2 linked regions of the Sus scrofa genome follow. The protein of the gene in region 2 interacts with the protein of the main gene of each other region in a pairwise test. Links are inferred from orthologs where the notes say so. Each region holds a gene or a part of one and is shown on either strand. Other genes may lie near its edges. The genes, in order: RNF144B and UBE2U.

Region 1 (3,826 bases), on a different chromosome or scaffold from region 2:
TTAAAATGGGAACTACAATCTATGGAAACAACTACAGGGCAGCACTAGCTCCTGGTAAATACGCAATACTGCCTCTGCTCATGCAGTTTACTCTTTACCCAATGCTGATGCACAAATCCGAATTCTACTGCATGAGATCTCATTGCAAAAAGTGAATTCCATGTCCTGCTCTTCAACTTCAGTAATCCTCAGACAAGAATGTCCCTTCTGGCTTTAACCAAATGTGGCTTCTGACTCATTTGTTTCAAAGGTTAGCAAGGGTCTGAGACCGATGTGAGAAAATCTAAGAAAACAGTTTTGAAGCACAGCATTCAGAAACAAAGCAACACCAAAGGAAACCGAAGCTGCCCTGTGATGACAAGGCCATTTCCTCACTTCCCGTCAAGTAACACAAGATGAGGAAGAACCAGCACAAACATCACTTCATGAACCCACCTCCCGTCCACGCAACTGTCACTGCAGTGTCCTGGCCCCACACTCCTAACCAGCTCTACCTTTTTTCTTAAATCCCTATTACCCACTCCTATGTAACTTATCTATTTGTTAGGCTTTTTTATTTATTTCTGATTTTTTGTCTTTTTAGGGCCGTACCTGCGGCATATGGAGATCCCACGCCAGGGGCGAATCAGAGCTGTAGCTGCTGGCCTACACCAGAGCCACTGCAATGTGGGATCCAAGCCATGTCTGCAACCTACACCACAGCTCATAGCAACACCAGATCCTTAACCCACTGAGTGAGACCACAGATCGAAACCACGTCCCCATGGATGCCAGTCAGTTTCGTTTCCGCTGAGCCACAAGGGGAACTCCTATTAGGCTTATGATTTATTATGTAACTCTTTGACAGAACACAAGTTCCTAAAAGCAAGGATCTCTGCTGGGTTTTGTTCTTTAACTGATAAATCCCAGTGCCCAGAACAATTCCCAGGACACAGAGGCTGCTCACTAGGTATCTGCTGAATGAAGGGATAAATGATACTATTCTTTCCATCTCTGGATCCTCCAGTTCAAAACATAAGGATTTTAGTTGCTTTCCTTTTTATCTCAAAATTATTCCAAGCCTTCTCTCTACCCTAATCCTCAATCCAAACAAATTTAAGAAAATTGATATAAACTAGCTTGAAAAAGCGTCGTGTTAAATTAACTTGGAAAAGAGAGATGGGCGTTCCCGTTGCGGACCAGGGGGTTAAAAACTTGACAAGTCTCCACAAGGATCCGGGTTCTATCACTGGCCTTACTCAGTGGGTTAAGGATCTGGCGTTGCCACAAGCTGCAGTGTAGGTCATAGATACAGCTTGGATCTAGTGTTGCTGTGGCTGTGATGTAGGCCTGTAGCTGCAGCTCTGATTCAGCCCCCAGCCTGAGAACGTCCCTACGCCACAGGTGCAGCCATAAAAAGAAAACAAAAAGGGAGAGAGAGGGAGACGGGGTAAAATTTATTTCACCTTAACTTGTTAACGTTTTTTAAAAAGCATGATTAGTAGGATGTCTTTTTTATAAGTGATTCTAGTATTTCCTCAATGATTCCTTTCTTCTTACTCCCCTTGATTTAAGTACCGATCACTGTTCAATTTCCTTCACAAGTCAGAGTATTAAACCCACATTGGTTTGGTAATTATACCTACTATATATTAAGTATTAACAGTGTACCCATGCAAGGCCTACCAAAGCAAAGATAAGTGGTGAATATTACTAATTTAGGCATCAGGCCCTCCCCTCCACCCTGCTGAGAGGCCTCAAACTCTCCCTAGCTGACTCTTAATCCATCCTTAATTTGAAAGTATAGTTCATTCAAATACATACAAGAGAGAGGTAGGTACCATAAACAGAAAAAAGATCATCTATTTCTGGGCCTACGAAGCTACAGGCCCAGAGTAGCTCTATCTTACTGTTTATTCATTTTGAAAAGGAAAAATTTACAAAATCCGTCATTTGAAATTTCCCAATTGGGGAGTTCCCATCGTGGCGCAGTGGTTAACGAATCCGACTAGGAACCATGAGGTTGCGGGTTCGGTCCCTGCCCTTGCTCAGTGGGTTAACGATCTGGCGTTGCCGTGAGCTGTGGTGTAGGTTGCAGACGCAGCTCGGATCCCGCGTTGCTGTGGCTCTGGTGTAGGCCAGTGGCTACAGCTCCGATTCAACCCCTAGCCTGGGAACCTCCATATGCCGCGGGAGCGGCCCAAAGAAATGGCAAAAAGACCAAAAAAAAAAAAAAAAAAAAAGAAATTTCCCAATTGGGGATGCAAACGAAAAGGTGCTGAGGCCATGGCATCAGTGTGCAGTCTCTTGTTTAAAACCTCAGCTCAGGAAAGCACTGTCGCCAGGAAGCCCCCTCCCATCCCCAAAGAGGAGGACCGACCTCTGTGGTCTAGGGATCCCTAATTTCACCAGACTTGTGTATAGTTCTTTCAACGTGTCTGTCTTCCCTACGGGAAGTATCCTTTTCCTCTTCATATTCCCAAGACCAAGCAGAGTGCCTGGCATATCGTAGGAGCTCGAAAAACACCTCAGTGAGTGAACACCTGAACAAGTGTCAATCTGGTCCACACTTCTAGGAGCCCCTTTGAACCCATTAGCCTGTTTGCTATTTTTACTCTTTAACCAGCCAATCTTCAGGAAAACATGTGATCAAGATCATAGGCATTGACACTAAGTGTCCAACTAAACGACACAAGCCCACCCTGGAGTTGTACAGGGTCCTCTTTATTATGAGGAATAAGCAGCATTCAGCATATTCTGAAAAGACAAAAAAATGTAAAAGGAGATACGACCAAGTAAACAGGTGTACACACCATGTGCTTTGTAGGAGATGAGCAAGCATATTAAAGACGATCCAGTAAATTGATACCTGATTTCGCCATCATTCAAACCACCTGATAAACTTCTTACAGATGGCTGTTAACTAAGGCATGTTAAAAAATGTCACTGTTTTGCTCCCTAGCTAGATTCTTAAGAACAGAAAGATACTGCTTATTTAACCAATAATTAAATTTCACACACGCATTACAGTAAAACCCAGTCAATACCAGGTTTACCATTCAAGATAGTATTTGGAATCAGATTCAAAGGTGGAACTGTTTCCCCAGGCAGGATCATATCGCAGCAGACTTGGGCTTCTCAGTAAGCCATAGACATGTAAGCTGTACTTGTACAAGTCTTTCTCTGTATTTTCTCATCATGAAAGAACCAAGGAAAACTTACGGCTGTGCAAAAGATGCAGCGGCATTCCTGGAGTGTGGTCATCTTGTCCAGAGACTGCTCACACAGGCAGAGTTTGCAAGTGACGAGGGGGGTCAGAGCCAGGTCTCCAGGCGTGGGATTTTCAGCGGGATTTTCGGCAGTCATGGTGAGATAGTGGAGGCTACCAACGGAGCTCATCAGCCTATTTTCAGCCTCTTCAGTCTCCTTAATCCCTACAGAAAGGCCCAAAGCAGAAAATATTACATCCATTGATACAGCTCTCGTTCCACCAACACATCTGGGCACCAGCAGAGCAAACTCTCATCCTCAGTGGCCTAAGGGCACAGAAAACGCATTTCTGAGAACCACGGGCTAGAGAGCTTGCCACTTGCACAGTATTTCTGGAGTCCTGAAACGGAAGTGGGCCTCACTGCCTGACTCATATCACATAAACTATGGGAATTAAAAGACCACTATGAACAAATATACTATTTAGGAACTGCATTGCTACAATCAATGCAACAGATTCAAAAAATCCTTATAAATAGAATGTCAAGCAAAAAAAAATAAAGAATTACCATATGATCCAGCAATTCCACTTCAAGGTGTACACCCCTGAAAGCAGGGACGCAAACAGATACTTGCT
Region 2 (3,826 bases):
CTCAGAAAGTTTCAGCAAAATTTGGCCACAAGATTCCATCATGGGGTTTTCTAACTCCAAAATCCCTTGCTCTTAAGGCTTGGGTTCTATTCCTTCCTGTCTAGTGCACTTTTTGCCGACTGCTGTCACATATAGTACTTAAGTGCCTTTCACTTACAAGTTTAACACAGAGGAAGGCTTTACCCCAGGTGCCACCAATGATGTTATCAATGTCCACAGGTGCCATAGCTGTTTCATCACAAACAATATGGAGAATTTTTAAAAAATGGAAGGGTCAAGGGACTACTTAAGACTAGAAAGCTGTGCATAGGAAGGTGTAGAGTCCTTATCAACAGCTCCTTCAGGTATAGTTCAATGGCATTGCTCGGTTTCCACTCCTGCCGTGGAAGCATTGTCTTAGTGGATGCTAGGAACAATTACTGAGTTCAACATCAAACATCCTAGAGGCGTGAAAGTAACATTGGATACTGTTCCTGCTCCACCTGAATTTGTGGCTTGCTGTTGAAAGAAAATTTGATGAAGGGAGAAATGATATGTAAATATAGTTGATGTAGATAATAAAAGATGTAATGGTTATTCAGACTAGCACTCAACATAGCTAATAACTGTGTGGTTGCTCAGAGTGTTTATTGACTATGTTTAAGCATATTCCTCAGTGTAATGAATAACCTTTATCTATGAAATGTATTCTTGTTTCTCCATTGGAATAATAGCTCAAGTGTTTTATTCTTATATATGAGCGTGCTATTGGAGTTGTGTTTTACTTAATGAAATTTTTCTTACTTTATACTTATATAGCCTCCATATGGCTTTTAAAGGCTTTGAAGAAATGCATGCTTCTAACTATTCTTTTCGAAATTTGAATCTTATATTGTCTGTTGATTTGCATAAGCCACACATTCCATTCATGACCTTCCTATCCCACTCATGATTTCCACACTAATGATTTATTTTAAATGTACTTTTTTGTGTGTTTTCTGGTATCTGCCTTAACTTCTGTGAAGTAAGACAATATATAACACCTTCCCAAATCAAAAAATAAAGAAATTTATCAGAAAAAGAAAATGCAGAGCTTCGGGAATTTATTGCAACCTAATATTTGATTTTCAAAGCTGCAATAACTAATCCTTTTTCTGCTTTGATTTTTCTTAATTAAAGGGTATTAATGCCTTTCCTATCAGTGAAGATTTGTTGGAATGGGAAGTTGATATTAAAGGTCTGCAGAATACAATTTGGCAAGGTTTGTGCTTTCAAACATACTTTACTTTTTTAAAAGTCTTTATGTTATTAGTCTAATTTCTTTAATGTTGCATTATATACTTTTTTGAGAATTCTAAAAGTATTCACATGTTATTTTTTCATCGTATGGCTTAATTTTATTGCTATTTGTTAACATGGGTGTGAATTTCAGGCCTGAATTTTTCTTTATGCCACATCTTAATATCATGTTTTTAAGAAGCAGAACGTAAAGCATATCAATTGAAAATATCATCTCACAGTCTTCCATGAAACCAGAGAAGGGCAATTAAAATACATACTGGCATAAAAATCCCACAGCTATGTCTCATTCTTTTCCCTCTTTGATTTTCTCACAAATCTCCACAAATCAAATTCTCAAGAAGACTAGGGTGCTATAAACTTTAATGACCATGCACTCGTACAGAAGCAGATTAACAGGATATATTTGTTTGGGTGAAGTAGGAGAGAAAAACAGGTTAAGTGGATAATTACAGTAAAATATAATGTGCCATTATGGATTTTGAATGGATGACTGAGAAGGCCGTGATTAATTTTGCCTTAGAGATTCAGGAACAGCTTCCCAAGGAAGTGACACTTGAGTTGAGTCCTGAAGAATGTATGAGTGATGGCCAGATTTAGAATGAGAAGGTGATCCAGGCAGAGCAAAGAGCCTAGCAAAAGCCTCTATACAAGAGAGGGTTCTGAAGCAATGAGCTCAGTAAATATGAGGTGCACAATGAAGGGGACACAGTAAATATGAGATTCCACAGAGTCTGTGGGTGGAAAGGACTGGTGGGAATGGAAATGCTGAAAACAGGAGATTAGATTGTGAGGACTCTTATTACACTGTTTAGTGGGGTCTATAATCCAATTTACCTGTTCATAAAATCCTTGGGACCTTGGGGAGTCAAAACTGTGCAAAGAAACTCCAGTGTTAATCAGGTTACAGTTAATCAGTACGTGACACTTTAGTAAAAATGTTTATTTCTATATCATAGGATCATTCTTCCAACTGACAATAAGTTTTACATCAGAGTACAATTTTGTCCCTCCAGTTGTGCGATTTAGAACGATTCCTTTTCATCCAAATGGTAAGGAACAAATGAAGTTATTATTGTCATGGGCTCTTTCCCTATTAACCTTATTCTTTATAGTGTTTAATAATGATTCCTTTTAATCACTTTGTTATGATTATAAAAGTCAGCGTACTTACTCAGGAAAATATTAAAAGGCATAAAAAATTATCCATCTGATTCCTAATTCAGACAGATGCAACTCTCAACATTTAACCACATTTATTTCCTTTCTTCTGCATATGCATTTTATCTGCATAGTTGAGGTATTTCCACATAAAGTTTTATATCTTTTTTACTTAAAATGACAGAATACATTTATTTCTGTATTATTAAACATTCTTCAAAGAAAACTTTTAATGACTGAATGATAAACGTAACCATTCCTGCGTTGTTCAGTATTTTAGTTGGATCTAATTTTTTACTTAAAAAAAAATGATGCACTGACAAATTAACATCTTAAAAAGAAGTTAGATTGCAACTTCAAGTTATGCAAATTGTTGATCAGTTATAAATGTAAAAATTTCGACTATTAAAACGAAGACAACCTAATAGAATTTTTAATATGCTGGTGAGGAAGGCTTTTCTAAAAATAACAAAACCTAGAAACTACGAGAAAAGCATGACACATTAAATTGCATAAACTTTAAAAAATGTCTCTGTAACTAACAACATTATAAAGAGACAAAACTGCATTGACATTTGTAAAGTGAGGAAAAATATTTGAAAGGCATAAATTAGAATGTTTATAATATGTAAAGACCACCTGTAAATCAATAAGAAAAACATAAAGCAATAGAAAAATGGGCAAAGGTTATAAACCAACATTTGATAGAAAAAACGTAGTGAAAATAAACATAAAAAGATGTCAGCTTCACTAGAAAGAAAATAAATGTTAAAAATAATAACACAGGCATTCCCATTGTGGCCCAGCAGTTAACAAACCATGAGGACGCATGTTCGATCCCTGGCCTCGTTCAGTGGGTTAAGGATCTAGCATTGCCATGAGCTATGGTGTAGGTCACAGACGTGGCTCAGATCCTGCGTTGCTGTGGCTCTGGTGTAGGCCTCTGACTCCAGCTCTGATTCAGCCTCTAGCCTGGCAACCTCCATATGCCATGGGTGTGGCCCTAAAAAGACAAATAATAATAATAATAACAACAACACAGGAGTTCCCTCCTTGTGGCTCAGTGGGTTAAGGATCCAGCATTGTCATGCTGTGGCTTGGGTTGGGGCTGTGGTATGGGTTCGACCCCTGGCCCAGGACCTTCAACATGCTGTGGACATAGCCAAAAAAATAATAATAACATACAGTTACAGTACAGGTGGGCAAACAAGAGTTCTCTGATATAATGATATATAGAGTGACCTTGTGGGGAAGCAATTTGACAGTTTCATATCAGATATAAAGTGCAAATAGTCCTAAATCCTTGTAATACCATGTTTATAAATTATTTCATAGAAATGCTAGCACAAGTATGAAAGAATATGTTTTCTTCTATTTGAAGTATAAT

Evidence for each region.
Region 1: the proteins of UBE2U (region 2) and RNF144B interact in a two-hybrid assay, tested with the Homo sapiens proteins (2 studies listed by BioGRID and IntAct). The link is inferred for Sus scrofa from reciprocal best matches to the Homo sapiens genes UBE2U and RNF144B.

Annotation. Positions count from the first base shown.
Region 1 is NC_010449.5:14,052,050-14,055,875, reverse strand, and holds part of RNF144B (E3 ubiquitin-protein ligase RNF144B), read right to left. Parts: intron 3,414-3,826; coding exon 3,202-3,413; intron 1-3,201.
Region 2 is NC_010448.4:148,300,675-148,304,500, reverse strand, and holds part of UBE2U (ubiquitin-conjugating enzyme E2 U), read left to right. Parts: intron 1-1,158; coding exon 1,159-1,240; intron 1,241-2,237; coding exon 2,238-2,330; intron 2,331-3,826. UniProt on the Homo sapiens protein: Catalyzes the covalent attachment of ubiquitin to other proteins.